4 linked regions of the Neodiprion lecontei genome follow. The protein of the gene in region 2 interacts with the protein of the main gene of each other region in a pairwise test. Links are inferred from orthologs where the notes say so. Each region holds a gene or a part of one and is shown on either strand. Other genes may lie near its edges.

Region 1 (4,645 bases), on a different chromosome or scaffold from region 2:
TTTACAAACTATAATTCAAAATGTAATTGATACTTTAAATGACGAATTCTCAGCTGTATTTCTATCCTGAAATTGTTTTGGGATAAAAAATGATACAGAAGGGGACTTTCAAATTATGCGATAAAAGACACGATAAGCGTCGTTGTCTAATTATTCTTTTCTTTAGGGGACACATCAGCAAAACTCGAAGATTTGTCGATTGACATCAAATTTTAACCATCAACAAAGATTCACACCAGTTTGGATTTATTGCATTGAGTGTGTTAAATATTGGTTTCAATGTTGTCGAAACTTTGTGTTCTCGAAGAGACTTTTTGCATAGCAATTTGTTTCGTTAAAATGGTCATTAATTGCATAGCTATCTTTGTAGCACAAGTAAGAAAGGTTGTTATTTTTTTTTTTTTTTTTTTCAATTTTACTTCTCATTTGATGATCAATTATCAAACTGTGCCAATAATATGTAGAACAAAGTTTAAATGATAAAAGAATAAAATAAATATCTTAAGAATTAAAATCAAAATTATTTCTAAAATTAAATGTGACCAAATCAGCACACTTTCTTCAATTGAAAATTAGTGTGACTATTCTCAATAGCAAGAAACTGACATAATTTCATAGTAGATTATCAAATTGCGATTTGGATAGTAACTTTCCTGCTTGATCTTACCAGGACAGCTATGAAGTCATTTCAAATTTTAGTGAAAGGTTGATGAAACGAGAAAATCAAAGATCACTAATTTTTGAAATTGTGTAAACCAATATCTAGAAACATACTGTGTACAATCAATCCAAATAAATATAAAAAGATTTGGTTTGCGAAACCTTATTGGTGGGGAAAATATCATTGCGATTGAAATAATTTGGAATCGCAGTGAGATCTCCCTTTAAAATCAAATAACTGATAAGTTAAAGAATCTCATGATGTTTGAATGTCGATAAAAGTTGTAAATTAGACATATTAATACTTACGTTGTTCATGTATTCGCTGAGTAGATCTTGCAGTGCTTGTCTAACTGCGTTGCACTCAGCAACAATCCGTTCCCTGCGCTCATCTCTTGTACATGAAGAATCAGCCATGAGTGCAGCTCCACTAATAATGCTTTCCAACCTTTCCTCCAGACTGGGACGAGTGCGTACTTCGTTATAAGCCAGGGGTGACATTGCCATTCTTTCATCAAAATCATCAAGAGCTGCAGCCAACTCTCCTGGTCCATCATACGGATGCTGGCCATCTGTTGGTGTTTTCCCCTGTGCTACATCATTTATAGTATTAACAGCCTCGCAGACTTGTTTCAAAACGTAATCTCTGTTAGCTTTAGCAGCAGCTAGTTCTGGGTGTCGAACGTAGACTTTAGAAGCTGTTAAAAGCATCGTTGAATGTTTCTTGAGAACAGCCCTGGCAGCTGCTAAGTCATCACGAAGTTGGGGATCTTTAAGTTCTTGCTGACGTTTAGCTGCTTGATTCATAAGCTCTGAGGCATTTCTGCCAAACTGCTTGATATTCTCCAATAGCTCGCCTTGGGAAGAAGCATTTTTCAACTTCTCTAAATCGTCTTCAACCACATGCAGAGATTTTAAAAGCAAATGCACATCAACCATGTCTGCCAATATTAGAAGACGTGTGACAGCAGATAGAAGATTCCTTGCTGCACGTACCATGTTACCTCGCTTCAGCGAAGAACAAGGATCTTCTGAAAACTCCCTGAATTAAAAAGTTAAAACTTCGAATAAACTGAATAGACCAAATCTTTGAATATCTGTGAAATATTACTGTATTAAATTAAATACAATTAATTCAACAAAGAACTTAAGAAAACTAGGTTTGATAGTTATGAAAAACTTTTCTCAAACTTCTACAAGTTTCAATCAACAAAATTAATTCAACTGTACTGACCGAGCAGCAATGCTCATCGCAGCTCCTGTTTTTCTCACTTCTTCAACGGCACTAAGCATTTCAGCCGTAATATCAGGATTTTCATATGCTATCTGCTCTCCCTTTTCAATGAAGTTAGTTGTAGCTTTTTCAACTGTTCCAACCAAGGCACTGGCACGTTTAGATTTGCCCTTCTTCTTTTTGCTTGGACCTTTGGTATTAACTAAAGTAGTTACTTGCAGAACTAATGGCTCCAACGTTTTTTCTACAGACATTGTTCGAATCTCCAAATTCTTGGGATCCCATTTTAATGTTATTGGCCCAAAGTGATCCGACATTTTTACTCCTTATCGAGTACTGCTCTGAAATAGTAAATTGGGGTTCGGTTATTGATTTGCCTATGAAACTGATGACCTCAATTTTCAGACTACGTAATGTAGATGATCATAAGAAGCAGGTTTCGGAAGTCAATCAATGAGTATGCTACCAAAGTTAGTGACTAAGTAAGGAAATGTCAAATCGTCAGTGAAGTCTACACATCAATCTGGAGTTGAGACTTGAACTTTTATTTTTATTACACAGCGCGTTTCCTGAGGCTGAATTTTAAACTTGAATACGAAGATAACTGATAAAATGTATCCAGGATAACTTTGAAGATTGAAGTCGTTAAGAATTGCAGAAGCTCAGAACTGAATAAACTTTTCAAAACCAATTAGGCAGCATGAGTACTTTCAGGATTTCCAAAGTGATTTTTAAATTCCACATTTATCACTGGAAAATGGGTGCATACACAAAGTCAAATGGAATATCAAAGGGACTGATAAAAAGTTCCAGGAATGCATCTTGACTCATCATACGAAAATGCATTAGCTAATGTTGAGTATCACAACCAATGGGCGACACAATCGCCTCGCTATTATACTGACCTTCATAAGATACGAAAAACTAACTGTTCGCACTTTTCACAATCACTAGTGATAAATTTATATTTTACTTGAACTCTAATTGCAATCGATTTATCTACTTGCTGATGACCAGTTTTACCACGAGAAGCTTGATGTCACCTCGATTTATCACACACCTTTCGTTCATGACGTCATTGCTGTCTTCAATCGGAAATGGTGCGGCAGGCGCAGGGAGGGGAGCACGGTCTACGCCCGAACCAGGGACGAAGAGATACAAAGAATATGAGCGACATTTTACCTAAGCAGAATTTTAATCATCCAACCGGGTTTTCAGCAGTTGGTCTCAGAGCGAATAGAAATCCGTCTACTATAGAAGGTGACGAATCACATACACCTGGTAGTAGTGATTGGCTGCAACCACTCGTGTGTACATGCGACCGGCCCGCTGTGACGTCAACGGCACTCCCAACTATTTCTAGATGCTAGACACTAGATTCGATCGCGCAGATACAGCTAGATGCACAGTCGGTAGCACGGTCTTACATACAGGGTCTGGGAACTTTGGTGGTCGGGATGTGTTCTCTTATTGAAGCACTGGCCGTTTCGCCTAGTGACCACGTGTGTCGCTGCTATTGAGGGATCCAGGCTGTGCGAAAGAAATGGAAGCAGTTTGTTGACCGTCCGTGGCATCTATATCTATAATACCGTAGTACGACAGCGTAGCTAGTGGACAAATCAGGAACACAGTTTGGTCACACCACGGTCTTATAGACAGGTCTGGGCACTCCAAGCCCCTTCCTATATAACGCAGCGTGACCGTCTTGAAGCCTGTCTTTCTCAATTTGTACACCAAAGTCCGGATCGCTGCAATCTCCGAGGCCTGTGTGCAGCAAAGAGGGGAATATAGGGCAGCTGTCTTTTTCTCCGTGCGCTTGCGTGCTAAGTAGGCCTCTCCCTCACTAGCGCTAGCGGCAAAAATTCACAACATCGGCTTCATTTTCGAGCACGGTTTTACAGCCTGAGTGCCGAGACCTGTGTATACGACCGTGGGTCACAACTACGACGACAATCCGCACCGCTTAAAATTAGCAGAGTTTCAGGCCTGTATGTAAGACCGCGCGTGAGGCACGTGAGGTCTTAAGATAGGTTATGTCAAGGCGCCGTGTTGCACACAGTTGTTTAATTTTTTGCTCAAGAAATAAGGAATTTATCCTTATAAACGAATCCGACAGTAGTCAGTTGTTAAAACTTTACATGCCAGATTAGTGAATTAATTAGTTCTGTTCTTAGGTACTCTGCGTATCAATAATTATGGATAACGTACTGGATGATGCGCGATTTGCACATGTTGCAAAAGATCCGAGATTCAGACGCATTCCTAAAACTGAGCGAAAAGTAAAAATTGACAAGAGATTTCGGCCTATGTTTAATGACAAAAAGTTTCTTCTGAAGTATACTATTGATAAAAGAGGAAGACCGAGTAATCAGTCGTCGAATGAAAATTTAAAAAAGTATTACCATTTGTCAAGCAATGATGATGAAGAGTCAGGTAGTGATGAGAATGTCAAATCAACTAATATTGAAAACAAGGTACGAAAAGATGTAAAGCCTAAAAGTGTTACTGGCATGAACGGAGATAGATTGGATCATTTACAAAATCTGTCTGACCGAAAATCAAAAAGCAAGATAAAACGCACTACCAAAGTAGCCCATTTGTTGGGAAATGGAGAACTGCTGCGTACTAAAACCCAAGCTGACAGTGACTTAGTATCAGAATCCGAAAATGATGAAAATGAATATTCTAAATCTGAGGATGAATTGGAATCAATTTCTAAAGTTACTATGGATTTTGAGAACGGCGCAGATC
Region 2 (4,861 bases):
ATTTTGGGCCATTTCGGCGTCGACGTGACGCGAAGTTAGATGACGGAGAGCACAGACTGCTGGCTCTGTTATCTCCTCGCGATCACCAGCGCTGACAATAGTGCGCACAAGTGCGTCGACTCCCCCAACTTGACACACTGTGACCTGAAATAAGTTTTTAAGATACTTTTGTGAATATTTTGCTTCTTCACCTCATTTATTTCCTTACTCTGTAAGAAATTTGACGCACCTTGTTGCGTTGATTGTTGCATGTCAAATTTGACAAAATACCGGCTGCACATGTGACAACGTTTACGTCGCTTGAAGTCAGCACCTGCACTAATCCTTGCAGCAGACCCTCCAATCCGTCAACTTTTGTTCCTGCGTCAGAGAGATTTCGCAGTGTCCACAAGCAATTCTGAACCAGTCTTGGACTCGAGTTTCCAAGATGCATTGCCAAGGCTTGCATACCGCCAGCTTCGACAATTGCTGGTTTGTTGCTGGAGCACACCGACAGCACTGAGGAAGAGAAGAGAATACATATTGAAATATGATTGTTGCGTAAGAGGTGGCAGGGATAATTTCAGTGAATATTGTCTATAAGTCCCTAGATATTGTTAGATTGTATTTTACCCTTCAAGACTCTGGAGGTTGTCCACAAGAGCTTCTCATACTCATAAGAGCGCATAATTCGTACAAGTTCGATTGGTCCCTGAGAAGCGAGGATGATCAGCTTGCTTTCTTGATTGCCGTAAGCGAGAATTTGGAGACAGTCAGTTACAATAGCCAAAAATTTCACGTTGTTACGCTGAAGAAGAGCAACCATCTTCTGCAGTCCACCGGCAAGACGTACGGCCATTTTAGAACCGTCTTGGTGAAGCAGCAGATTGTGAAGCGTGGTTATGGCGTAGAATAATACAGACTCTACTGGTGAACTCAACAGCTTAACAAGAGCAGGGATACCGCCACTTTTGAAAATAGCCAGAAGCCCTTGTCTGTGGTGAGACAAATTGTGCAGAGTTCCGACCGCAGCTTTCGTTGATTCAAGATCATTGCTGTTTGAGATTGCTCGTACAAGAGCAGCCACCATTTGGGGACTGTTCATAATAGCGTGTCGTGAGGCTTCCTTTTTAGACAACTGATGCACCATCATAGCAGCTTGCGAAACTATAACCTGATCCTCGTCGTTGAGGAGCTTGATCAACTCTGGAATCGCACGAGTTGCCAGATCTGCATCATCCTGATAGTTGATCAAGTTGACCACTGCGTGCTTCAACATTTGGCTTGGCTCTGCCAGTCTTTGAACTGCGGTTGGTTGCGCTGGATCATACTGTGTAGATGGTATCTCAATACCCTCCTCTAATGTTTCAGGGAACATTGCTGCGCGTACACGCTGTGATCTCGTGTGGCTCAGTTGTTGATTCATTTCTGTTGAAATAAAAATGATTGTTGAATATTTTAATTGAATTTTACAAGATTCGTTAACACGTACTCCTCGCTGTTTACAACTTGACAGAATTATTTTAAACTGAGGCTGAAGTTTGTAGTAATTTCAAGCAGGAAATAATACTCCGTAATATTTTGGGTTTTTTTCTTCCATATGTAATAAATATTTCAATAATATTTTCCTCACCGTCGACTTGGTCCTGTGTGAATCCTTGAGCGAAGCCCTGATCCAAGTCGAACATGAGTTGGTCTCCCTCTATATCGTCATCTTCCTTTCCTGACAGAGACTGCGCCTGAGTCGCAGCCCCTGAGTGGATTCCCGAGTCGCCCATGTAGGAGTTTTGTTGCCACATGAGAGTCTGCTCTTTGGCAGAGCCCATCGGTAGGTCTGCCGGGCCTTGATAGCTGCCGTGCGACACTGGAAGTTACGAATATAACAGAAAATTGATTCAACTTCAAATCGAAAGGCCCTAAGGTCAGACCTGTAATTCAAATCAGATGGTACTTACTGGGTCTAGATTGATTCGACGTCATTTGATAACTCATGGCTCCAACGGGCGAAACACTCCACACCTGCATAAAATGGGGATTATTATGTAATTTTGTATCAGATCGATCGGAGTAAGTTTAGTATTGAATGTGTATTACGCAACAGTCTAAAATGTCACAAATTACAACTAATGAAAGCACGTCTTTTTTTTGTTCAGAGACACCAAACTGCATATAGATATACGTACATATGTCTAGCTGCTATGTAACTTTCATTCTTATGCAAATTTGACAACAGACTCATCGCTCCTATGATTCATATTACCAGCTAGCTAACGATTGTGAGATAACAAGTATCTCGTAATACGCACTTGTAATATTTAGATTAACACCAGTGTATTTAATCATACAGATATAAAACATATATCTGATCGAAGCAGAAAAATGTACAAATGTATGATAAAAAAAAAATAATAAATAAAATAAAATACATGTCTACCACAATCCTCAAAAAACCTATTCACGCTAATAGCAAAGCGAATAGTACAAGATGCACGCAGGTGCACATATCCGTTCGAGTAAAGCGATAGGTAGGTAGTTTTTTTTTTTTTTACTCTCCCTTCTATTTCTCTTTTTTTTTATTTTCCATACTTAATTTATCGACGAAACGCCGGGGATCATACGAACTGCTTTAGAGGGTGAAAAAGGACCGATAAAGCGTATTAAACGAGTGTGATACCCGGAGTGGGCCAAGAAACCGAAGCGTGGGTACGCGTGGGTGTTGCGGCACAACAAAGGGCTCAAGAATGCAATGCATCACCATTTTCTGACAATCGGAAGGGGGCAATGGAAGCACTTTTGACACACCCAGGCGTAAACACGAAAATCGGGGATAATCAGGCCTCAGAGGGCGAGACCGGGGGCGCGAATAACGCAGGATAACATTGTTTCACTTACCGTTTACCAGAGGGTCGATAATTATTGTTATTCGTGCGAATATCGTCCGTCAAACTACGCGAGTGACTCACTTTACACCAGCCAGCTTCCAGTTCCCCCTTCCAAGCACTGCCTCCTCGCTCCGCCAACTAAACATGGCGGATCCAGCGGCCGCAGCGCGCCCTTTACGACGAGACGAGGACCTGCGCCGCGCAGAAAGTAGTCCCGATGTTTAGACGCGGTGATTAGAGTATGACACACTATAATATGACTCGAGTCGATATACTGTGCCGTGTCGGCGGTACAAAGCATGCGTGAAGTTTCAGCCTCCCGCAGAAGCTTCGGGGAACCGGTCAACGGCGCTGATTCGGATCATGGGACGATTGGGTAGAATTCGAATTGAAAAAAATAAAACAAACTGTCACGATCCGTAGAATCTTTGGGTTAGGAGGAAACCTTTTTGTGTTACTACGCCGATAGTGGACCGAGCGATCAAGTGCCGAGTGTTGCCACTTGACTAATTGTTCCATGTGCTCGAAATAGGCAATAAATTCGATGCCGTACGAGCCTCTCGACGCTCTCTGCATACGCCTTTTTCATCATTCACTCTTTGTCGGATTTTTTCATCATTCGGGTCTGAGGACATCGTTTGGAAATCGGAGAATTCCCAGCTGACTAAGCCGAACACTAATCGGCGGCATTGCGTGACTCCTATACGTACTACAGACTCTAGTCTACGGTATTCGGAGAATTAGAAAAGCGCGGTATACGCGTCAGAACTATTCCTTTATTTCATGTTAGCTTATGTTCTTAGTTTGTGACGAAATTCGCAGATGATAATTGACCGGGAAACTTCCCTCGTGCATCGTCCACAGGCGTAAATCATACTTTTATAAGGATTTAACATGTATGAATCTACATAATGTATAGGTATAGTAACAGTTATACCTAACTGGTTAATAAAGTTATTCTGTGTTAAATTCTACTGGATTTATCTCTCCATTTACATATAATAATCGTAAATATTTCATCTTTCAACAAACAGTCGCCCTGATGCCTACATCTTCTATAATCACGTGGCGTGCTCCATAGGGTTCGAGCTTAAGCAAACATACATGATTATGGCAACAAAAAGCCAGCGTTTGTAGATATATTTCAGATAAATGATTGTTCGTTTATTATCGATGGATGAGATATTTAAAATTCTGCGAATAACTTTTTTCTCCAACTAGTCTCGTTCAGATGAAATTGTATGATTTTTCTATTTTGCTTCTAAACGAAGGCCGCTCGAACCGCTCCCAGCTTTTTATGGTCAGAATCGACCCTTGCAGGGATAATAGGGAACCGCTATTTTACCTGAACGAAACGCGACAGCACAGAGAATTGCTTGAACTGCGCAGTTTGAAATCTAGCTAACTTTGTACAAGGAGTTGTTCCTTTTTAATCTCCACGTGGAAACGAGATAAGCCTGAGCAAGTTGACCGAAGAATCAACCGTGGAATTTATACTCTCGCGTTCCTGCAATTACCATTATTTAAGTAGCTATGCCGCGGTTTTACACGCCAGACTAATGTCTAGCTTGAAACTAAGTTGATTTATTATAGTTGTATTATAGCTGCGTAACATGACCGTAGTATAGTAACTCCAGAAATTTCAGCTACGTTTATCGCTCGTAATTATACCATTTTAGCAATTCTGATAGATTATCTCTTCGTTCTCAATTACAGCGATTCTATTTGCTCTTGAAAGTAACTATCGAAACGCTGCGAAGATTCTAAAATCGGCGCATGTTATTCTCGATCGGAGGTGCCACAAGCGCCTACACGAATGCAACCGATATAGCACGCGCGCTTGGCGTGTAGCGTGTGTCGCTCGTTAGGGGAGCGTTTCGAAACGAAATTTGTGTTATTACCGCACGATCGCGACAAAACGAAGTCGTGAGTTAAGCGAGACGTAAATCGGAGCAAAACGGACAGTCCGCTTTTCAGCACTTCAATTTTTCAAGGTGTTA
Region 3 (4,728 bases), on a different chromosome or scaffold from region 2:
ATTTTAACCTCTGAAACATTGAATCGGAGCATCTGACTACCATAGAATCAACTAATATAGACCTTATTTTTGCCGTCAAAAAAGTGGTGTTGCAATTTGTGCCAGTCAACGGCAGGCGGGCCTGCTAAAGGGCCGCTAGAAACATTCCCCGCGCCTTGTGCAGGTGCCTGAGGAGGCCCTTGGGTAGGGTCCAAGCCGCCAGCAGCAGGGCCTTCGTCTTTGCGCTCGGGGAAAAGCATCATATGCATTTTTCTTATAGTGGCAAGCTGCTCTTCACGGTGCAGACGTTGCTGAGGGGTCAAATTCTCGTCAGGTACCTTGACACCCTGCAGAGAAGGCTGCAGACCTGAGGAACCAGGACTGTTCGGTGCCCCCAGGAGGCTTGGGCTGTGGCCCAATGCGGTGCTAGTTGGTGGCTGAGAGTTACCTGTCCAGGATCAAAAATCGTTGACGTCATCAATCATATACATACAACCGCTGCTTTTCCATAGCCCTTCTAAGCTCCGGGCAGCCAATTAAAAATACGATTCACCGCTCTCCAAACAACATTCAACATTCGTTCATTTTTATTACTTTCGGTCAAAAAACGGATAGTCGAATTTCGTTTGGTCTAACTCAATTATTAGCGGTAATACCTGGGTTGTTAGGGGAGTTCGGCACAAGGCAAGGCACATCGATATTGTTATCGTCGAGGGAGGAGTCTGGGTTGCCCATTGAGCTACTGCCATTCAAGTTTCTGATTGTACTTTGCTCATTCCAAAACGGAGGCGCATTGGGCTCAAGTGCAGGAAGGTCCGGCGGCTGCTCGGTGGGAAAAGCACTATTCGGCCCGCCCTGTTGGCCTTTCTGCTTCATCATCGCTAGATTATTCAACCACTGGGCAGGGTTTGGTCTGAACTGGTTCACCTTACTAGGGTGTTTCTGAAACGACAATGGTGATAAAAAAATCCTTCTATTTCAATAATCTGCAGAAATATACCAATTGCTATCTTCGCTCAGTGGTTTACAAAATAAATCAATACGCTATGGTGGTCTCAACTATGCTTCAATATTGATATCTGTCATTATCAAGTTTAATTTGATAGAAAATTATTGAATCATTGGAAGAATAAAAAAGTTAACAAGTTACGATAAAAGGGAGCAATTTCTGCAATTAATGACTTAAAGGTATATTATATTTCAAAATTTAAATAAAATACCCTGACTTTTCCTGACTTTCCAGATTTGTGACGATCCTGCCTACGTACCTCCAGATACTTCTTGGTGCCTGGCTGTGCGCAATGATAAGCAATTATCGATGGGAATTGTCCCTGCAAAACCGCTTCTGCGCCTTTATTTGCCAGCATAGTAGAAAATACAAATATCTGGCTCTGCTGTTGCATGTACTGAGCATCCCCTCCGCCTGTGCCAGTGCCCATTTGCTTGGCAAGCACATTGCTCACTAGGGGTTGAATTCCGTCAGACGAGAGTCCAACGCTTGCTGCGCAGTCTGGGTAAAATAATAAATAGTAATCGTTAATCTATGCCCAAGGTGAAAAATTAACCAAGATACCGAGTGCGCACCATTTTGCAGATCATCGCCAGGATGGTTCTGTTCATTTTCCTGTTTTACAGAGCCAAGTATGGATTGATTATTAGTACTATTTTGATTTTCTTGAGACATAGTGCCATCCGTGTGATTGGGATCGATGTTTGAATCCCTTTGGCATTCCGTCGATTCCTCCCTGATGGTGTTCTCATTATTGCCAGTTCCTGCTACCCCGGACTCCTCCTTTATTTTAACCGAATCTGTATCAGGTTCCTCCTTGACGACGGTGGTCGTAACGCACGTTGCTTCGCTCGATTTTTTCTCCGTTTTCATTTTCGTATTATCGGAGACGAGCGACGACGACGTCAAACGGCTGTTGATACTTTTTCACCACTGAGCAGCATGGCCAGTCTAGTTTTTCAATCCATCCATGATTAAGGATACAATTCCACCGATACAACATCCAATGATTAACTCAAGATATTCTTTAGATCTCTTGTCCGTCAAGAAAGATTGGAAAAAAAAAATACCCAAAAAAACACAGGAGCGAAAAGATGAAAAGAAATAAAAATAAGAATATCCAATATCCACACTCGAGCACACACACGCGCGAGAAAAGCACAAAACTGAAAAACTCGTGATATGCGAAGTGAGAATAAATTTTTAAAAAAAGTATGTAGGAACTACGTATTACGTGCACTGATCAAGGCAGCAGCGTGTCCCCGACCAGAAGCATGTTTTGGCTTCACCTTCGGCCAGCAGAGTGTTATTGTTCGGCTGGGACGCGGGGGAGGAATCACCTGATGCGAGAATGGAGGTTGAAATTGCTTTACTTCACGCAGGATACGTCGCACTTGTTCGCACGGACAGTTGTTTATTATCCGATTTTATAGGCACTGGGAGAACTGGGTTGATGGTAAAACGCTCCGCTCGACGGCGGATTGAGTTCAGAGTCGCGAGAGTCGAGAGGCCGAAATGTCAGCCCATAAAGCCTCGGATTACCGAGGTCTGCATGCCTTCGGCCGTGGAAAATTTTTTATCCGTTATACAGACGCCGGTATTACTGTTATTGAGGCTTGTCCACCGATCGACGACGTTACACTTGATTTTCACCGCCTAGAACCTCAGCATTGTGTTTCTTCAGCTTTTATTTGTCACTTCATGGTCGCTTTGCTTATTTATTTCTTTTCAAACACGCTTGCCAACCCCTAGCCAATTGTTAATTCATCAAGGGTATACACGGTATACAATATCAGATTTTGTTACTAGATTTTTCGTTCAGATCTGCCACTATTAAGTGCAGTATTGCCATGTATATTATGTACGGTGCATTCAACCATTTGCTGGGAGTTCTGACGATGATCGGTGGTTCTGTGTTTCACCCGCTCTACTTGGATTGTTGGTGATCTCTATTTCACTTCTAGAGAATTAGGTCCATGAATTTTCAGCGCTACCGCAGTTCATTTTGTAACTCAGCCATGGGAAAAGGAACGAATATAGTTCACGGACAGTGCCCGAAATTTTGAAACACGACCGAACGTTGTATAGTTAGTCCATATGATAAAGTAACACAAGCGCGAGGTGCTGCCATCTAACGTTTTATCTCGCTCGTAAATGCGTGGCGAAAAGTGTGCAACATTATAAAATCATTACTCGGGCTGGTATGTGTGAAAGATAAAAATTGGATACAAAAATAACAATAAAATAAAAATTATCGACCGATCTATTCGTAGACAAAGCGATGAAAGGATAAAAGTGACGAAAGAATCTCCGGCTGAAATCCATACCGTGAGATATCAGCGGCGACCCAGTAGAAACAATATCGGACAACTAGTGCGTGTTGAACCAGTGACGCCGCAACACAAAGAAATTACGCATATGAACAAGCGCAATAGCGACAGACGCGACAGCATCGAACTGCAGTGCGAGTCAGGATAGTTGCTAGAACTACGCAAGATTCTACAAGCAACGTTGAGGAGGAGACATTTTCATCGCGTTTATAGGCGATAGAATTCGATCACCGAGTAACGGTAATAAAAGCATCCTATCGTTTGACAATAAAAGAAGTGTGTTAGGCGGGGGGTAAAGCGCATCGGCATGAGTGCGTGTTTACGTTCGGTACCAAAACACCAATGACCTTGAAACTCGTGATTATTCGGGGGTCACGTGACGCACGGGACGGCCAGGGATTGGCGGACCGCGACGCGTACCCTGCGCCCCTGGGATGCTCGATAGATCGTTTCGCAAGATGAAGTCCGAATCAAAACCTTTGTTGACAGCTCAAACAGAAAAGGCGAATCATTACACGTAAGTAGTGCCTGGCGGGGCCCCCGAGTGTGACGACAGACAGTGGTGCAGTGCTCACGGTCCAGTGTACAACGAATAATGTGTAGTTCTGTGGATTCGCATTCCAGATATTTGAAGGAATTCCGCGTGGAACAATGCCCCCTCTTTATACAACGCAAATGCACCCAGCACAGGCCCTTCACCTGCTTCAACTGGCACTTTATGAACCAGCGGCGACGAAGGCCCGTAAAAAAACGTGATCGGACCTTCAATTACAGCGCCGACAATTACTGCACCAAGTACGATGAGACAACCGGCCTTTGTCCCGACGGAGACGAGTGAGTACTTCCTTATCTCCCCTCCCCATCCCCATCCCCCTTTACCCTCCGTCCAACACCCACCCGCTTTTTTTTCTTATCGTCGCCCATATTTAACCACCCTTGGAAGCTCGAACATTATTTTCTTACATCATTCGGACCGCGCTACCCGCCAATTTCTCACGCCGTCGCGGCTCTCCACACGATTTTCGCATTATTTTCACACACGCCAGGAGCTGATTTTGCACAAAGGAACTCTGTCGGTATTGATTTTCTCCTACTTATCCTAACAACAAAGAACCAACACTGCCTTGTACTCTTTCATATTATTGTCATTTATCCTACACAGTTGTTTGTTCACCAATAATAAATCCATACTGTATACCAGGGATGGCCAACCGATCGATCGATCCTGGCTACCAGGCCAGTCGATCGCGACAAAGCAAAGAAAAATACATAACTGTCAAACAAATATTTCTTGTAATTCTGCGGTAAAGATTTGAGATTGGTAGATCGCACAGAGTCTGGACAGTAAACGATAGATCTCGGGTCCGATCAAGTTGGTTATCCCTGCTGTATACCGACGATCGTTCTACA
Region 4 (4,990 bases), about 38 Mb from region 2:
CGTTAAGTTCAATAAGTAAGTATATTCTTATTGTTTAGCTTAAAAAAAAAAAAAAAAGTAAGATTTGTTACCGGTGCAATTAGAGCAACTATTTATCAATTCCCAGAGGATTTTTCCTGCATGGAGGCTGACTACATGCACGATTCTACACAGGATTACGAATCAGACATAATGTCGTATCGTGAGTAATTATGCAGCTCTGCGGTATTCTTTTTACTAATTTTTACCAAGTAAACTAAAATTAACTTTATCGTAATCGGAATTTTTTCAAGCCAAGGAATAAAATGCCCTGACTCTGCGACGAGATTCTCGGTTTCGAGTGTCAGGCCTAATACTTTAGGCTAGAATAAGAATCCAGCAAACGTGTTTAACACCCGACTCCGATTACGTAAGATCGTATAGAATTACATAATTGCTTTGTTTCAGTCGAAAACAGAGCTGAGAGAAACCGACCAAACAGCATGGCGGAAGGTTATCATCTTCCGGGTAGCACCTACGGAAGAGCAGAAAATAGCGGTAAGCCATCAAACTACCCCGGTGAAAATGATTGCTACAATTTTCTACGAAATTTTTCCGGAAAATCGGGTCATTTCGTACGACATTGTGCAAAAAATTATTGTCGTACTTGTAAAAGCTTGTAGATTTTCATGAAACTATCTATTGTTTCAAAAAAAAACTCTACAAGCTGTTACGATTTTTAACGAAAATTAATAATTCTTTAAGAAAAATTATGCATGTTTACAATTTTTTTTTAAGATATAATACGAAGTGTTGAAATTTCTGTAAAAATTCGTAGTGGTAGAAATTTTTTTCTGCTTCGAGAACTAATGAAAAATGTTTTTCCGATTCAATAGATGATTACAAAATGTATACAAGTACACCGAAAAGGAATCAAAGAACAACCAGAGCAGAAGCCTTTGGTAATTAATGTTTTACTCGGAATTCGAATGTTGTTTGAAACGGATGAAGCATGAAAATGATGAAAATAAATTGTTTAGAAATGCCTGACGGGTCTAAAATGTTCAACGTAACGTTCGAAGAGTGCTTGAAATTCGGACGAAGATTGAGACACACCAGTGATGTCAGGGACAACGAGGGGTGTCAAATTATGCAATTGGATCGTAAAATTGATGAAAAGCCGAATGGAACAAGGCACAGAATCGACATTGCTAGGAGATGGCTTAATATGGACGACGACAACGGAAACGGGTTTTATTGAAAATTGTAAAACGTTGATAGAAAAAAAAAAAAACAATTCAATTATCAACAGTAGAACGTCTCTGTGACAAGGAACGTTTCACGATAATAATAAATCGCATGAATTTGTCCATTTACGTATATCCTTCTTTGTTCATTATATCACCAATTCCATCCGTATGTTGTGTATAAAAAACTAATGAGTTTCTATCACGATATAATTACTGATTTGGTTGCTTGATTAGAGGATTAGGACGAAATCGAAAATACAAATGTATATAGAAACTGAGTAGCAATGGTAAAAAAAACAAAGATGATCTGAAAACAGATGTCGTGTTAACAGCTTGGTATCGATGAAACAAATTTTTGTCTCCAAATTCTAAACTAACCAAATTCGAAATTGATGTAAATATTTTCCAGTCTTGAGATTATTAACCCAGGTTGAATAAACAAAAAGAAAAAAAAAAAAATCACCAAGACATTAAAACCAAGAATGAAGAGATCCGGATGTGGAAGTCAGGGAAAAAAGCACGGTAAATTAAAGGGACGGAATTGCATTGCAATTGATTATGGAACTTTGAGGATGATCGTATCAGAAAGTGGCGAATGTGATGTGTCGGAAATTGACTATTAAAATTTCAATGATATACCGTAATTTAGTTGACTGGAATTGCATTGTAGCTGGTGGTTCGTTCGGCATTGGTTATAACCTTGCATTTCTCTTTTCGAACTCTAAACCCGCGTTTAGAAGCATCGAAACCATGAACAATGATTTCCGTTACAGCCGTCACGATCACCCCCCAAAAAAGGGAAGATATTTTTTTATTTAACTTTTTCGGTGCGGTTTAATCCCAGGAGTTTTCCCTTCACTCTTCAATTTACAGCCAAAATGTCCGCCTGCGACGTAAACGAGGACGAATTGGAAGTGGACATGGAGGACTATCGTAAGTCAAGCCTTGTTGTATAATTGTTAGTGTAACTTTGCGGTACGTTTCGCTAATTAAATCACTCGAAGAGTAAATTTGAACAAATACCGTTCTTTAGTGATGAATATGACGTCTCTATCAACCGTTTCCAAAGGAAAGAGTTTTGGAATACCTCACGACACTACCCTGGATACATCGAAAATAACATCACGACCACTTATGGAAACGGTGGAAAAAGGTGATGTAATAAATTTCGTGTCCATGTGTTATAGTTGCTAACTAATCGGATCCGAGTTACTGGCTTGTTGACAAAGTCCAGTAATTCTACAGGTGCAAGACTGACGAGTGAAGTTCGTGCAGAGTAATATAAGTATTCGGTTTAGATAATAAACGTTGATGTAATTTCCAGAGATATCACCAGACGTTAAGCAATACAACACAAAAATAACGGAGGAAGATCCCTGCAGCGGAAAAAGGGCTGTGATGCATATGTCGCATGTTTTGAATAAGAAAACTGGAACGATTATCACTGTTCAAAGAACCGATTACACAGGTGGATGTCCTGTGAAAGACAAAAATTTGGGCTTTGCTGAAAGTACAAGACTTTCATCAAAACGTTAGAAGAAAATATGCACGGAGAATGAAAAATGAATAACGATAAAAATCGAAATTATGGGCATATAAATTTGGCATAATTTACTTGCCTGAATATTGTTAAACATCATAGGTCGCGTGATGAGAAAAATAATCATGGTATTTATGCTTTCGAATCGTCAAATTCGATACCTTAAAAAAATAATAAGACTCGTTTACCTTATTTTATAGACGTAGCCTCGCCTCATTTGAAACACCTTATTTCGATTCCAAGCTTGGCAATTAAGTCTTCGAGCCACGTTCGTTTTATTCGAGTCTCGAGGGCTGCGTAATAATTTTTTTTCTGAAAGATATAAAGAGAGAAATGTTAGGAAGGAAAAAGTAAAATCAGTTCAAAAATGGTGCATGGTAATCATGTCTCGCCTTACTGTAACGTCCGAGACTTTAATAAGTTTCTGTGCTGAGCACGAGGTGATCAAAAGATTAAAATGAAAGGTAATCGAAATTTCGGGTACTCGAAGTCGGGTTCGGGTCGGGTTTTTTGGCAAACCGGAAATCTTCGGGTAATCTAAAAACATCGGGTAATTTGAAAACTTCGGGTAATCCGAAATCTTCGAAAATCTCCGTTCACTTTAGAAATCCCGATATTTTTGGAGAAGCGAAAATAGATACGAGCAAAATTTTCGGAAAACCCAACATTCTTGAGGAACTCGAGATTCTCAGGTACACGACCCGAAAAATTTCAGTACCCGCACACCTCTAGTGACCATCATTGTGCAGCTGCAGCTGTCTCAAGGTACTTAATAAAAATACTTGCATCTGCAGAAGGGACAATGAGAACTGTAGAAGGACTTTTCCAGGTATAGCCGAACCGCGTTAAAATTTTTAGCCGCCAATTCAACGATCTTTGCGAGCTGCCGCTCAGGGTCAAGATAATGTGATTTCACACTTCCTACCAGGCAAGCGTTCTCATTGGTTTGCAAAGTTTAATCAACCAATCAGAATGCAATACGTTGTTCTTGTTTAATGTCAATTCTTTTAAAGAATTCGAAATTAGATGGCAACGGTGAAAACTTCTTAGGACAGAGGCAAAGCTCCTCGCGAACTGCGGCGCCAAAGAGATAAAAGATTGCTGACAGCACTAAATGGGAGCTAATTTCTGCATTCGTTACATATTTACACCAGATACCGGGATGATTTCGCATGTTTCTACGACGACTTGAATTATCCCAATTTGCGCAAGACTCCATAGGTGAGACATTAAATGATGAAAAATAAGCTGCGATGTAAAAAAAAATTAATATTAATAAAATGTAAATATCGACTTGCGAAAGTTCTCGTGTATGCTTCTTTCATATTCAATCTCCTCGTAAAAAAATTTATTTTCAGTTTCAGGTTATCCTCCATTGTCGAATAGTAATATTTCGCCATACACTTAATATTCGAAAATATTTACATTCAACAAGAATAAAGCATTGCATATTTTCATATAATTTCCAACTTTTCCCAAAGGTACCTGAACGCATACCTGGATGCGACGTCCTTTGTTCCCCCACCACCAAGAGGAAATTCTGTGTTCGCAACCTTTTTCAGGTCAAATTGGGCTCTCACTTCACCGTTATAATCGGCAATTATCACTACGAATTGTAGACGGAGGCCTCGACAAGGTCCGACATTTTACAATCGGGAGAGAAATTATAAAAATAACAAACTGATTATTTTCGATGAAAATTAATTATAAAATATTAATAACTTGCAATATCGTAATACGTCTGTTTTTAGAATTGCGTGGAGAGTGAAAACATGAAGAGAAGAAAAAAAAATTGTCGGTAACGAGATTCCATACAGAGCTGGCGATAATTAAGTTTACCGTTAATTTGAAAAGTACAACGTATACGAGTACGCACAAATTTTCCTCGTTCGATTTTCTCGGAATTGTCTCGCGCCTTACTATTTACAGTGAAGTTTGTGTCGAATACAAACAAAATCTTTATACGTCACACAATAATTATGCCTTGCCTAAACTATAATGTACTATCTGATTGCTGGATGTTATTACACACATTTTTTACGCACGTGTATATTAAATATGGTAGGCATGCAGAATAATATAGCACTCGATTCTACTCTGGGAAATATGCGCTTTGCGTTGTGAAACGTGATAATTGTTAGAAAAAACTTGTCACACGTACATACATATATACATGCATACATACTGGGGTGAGCCAAAAAAGCTAACCTATCCAATCTTTGGTCTTAAAAGGACCTATTTA

The links.
Region 1: the proteins of armadillo segment polarity protein (region 2) and catenin alpha interact in binary tests that used the Drosophila melanogaster proteins (3 or more experiments, as listed by UniProt). The link is inferred for Neodiprion lecontei from reciprocal best matches to the Drosophila melanogaster genes arm and alpha-Cat.
Region 3: the proteins of armadillo segment polarity protein (region 2) and protein BCL9 homolog interact in binary tests that used the Drosophila melanogaster proteins (3 or more experiments, as listed by UniProt). The link is inferred for Neodiprion lecontei from reciprocal best matches to the Drosophila melanogaster genes arm and lgs.
Region 4: the proteins of armadillo segment polarity protein (region 2) and axin interact in a two-hybrid assay, tested with the Drosophila melanogaster proteins (2 studies listed by BioGRID). The link is inferred for Neodiprion lecontei from reciprocal best matches to the Drosophila melanogaster genes arm and Axn.

What each region holds. Positions count from the first base shown.
Region 1 is NC_060265.1:18,568,771-18,573,415, reverse strand, and holds the start of catenin alpha, read right to left. Parts: upstream 3,043-4,645; 5' UTR 2,955-3,042; exon of another isoform or gene 2,800-2,954; intron 2,236-2,799; 5' UTR 2,212-2,235; coding exon 1,895-2,211; intron 1,703-1,894; coding exon 970-1,702; intron 1-969. Other genes in the region: ESF1 homolog, read left to right, coding at 4,090-4,645. UniProt on the Drosophila melanogaster protein: Associates with the cytoplasmic domain of a variety of cadherins. The association of catenins to cadherins produces a complex which is linked to the actin filament network, and which seems to be of primary importance for cadherins cell-adhesion properties.
Region 2 is NC_060261.1:41,591,238-41,596,098, reverse strand, and holds the start of armadillo segment polarity protein, read right to left. Parts: upstream 3,006-4,861; 5' UTR 2,872-3,005; intron 1,999-2,871; 5' UTR 1,972-1,998; coding exon 1,935-1,971; intron 1,844-1,934; coding exon 1,613-1,843; intron 1,408-1,612; coding exon 613-1,407; intron 499-612; coding exon 230-498; intron 145-229; coding exon 1-144. UniProt on the Drosophila melanogaster protein: Isoform neural may associate with CadN and participate in the transmission of developmental information. Can associate with alpha-catenin.
Region 3 is NC_060264.1:35,193,410-35,198,137, forward strand, and holds the start of protein BCL9 homolog, read right to left. Parts: upstream 3,034-4,728; 5' UTR 1,862-3,033; coding exon 1,564-1,861; intron 1,490-1,563; coding exon 1,248-1,489; intron 922-1,247; coding exon 636-921; intron 428-635; coding exon 63-427; intron 1-62. Other genes in the region: putative E3 ubiquitin-protein ligase UNKL, read left to right, coding at 3,753-3,835, 3,922-4,152. UniProt on the Drosophila melanogaster protein: Involved in signal transduction through the Wnt pathway.
Region 4 is NC_060261.1:3,714,767-3,719,756, forward strand, and holds the start of axin, read right to left. Parts: upstream 3,050-4,990; 5' UTR 2,937-3,049; intron 1,299-2,936; exon of another isoform or gene 1,220-1,298; coding exon of another isoform or gene 999-1,219; intron 921-998; coding exon of another isoform or gene 855-920; intron 517-854; coding exon of another isoform or gene 427-516; intron 182-426; coding exon of another isoform or gene 121-181; exon of another isoform or gene 107-120; intron 16-106; exon of another isoform or gene 1-15. Other genes in the region: uncharacterized protein LOC124292941, read left to right, coding at 121-181, 427-516, 855-920, 999-1,219.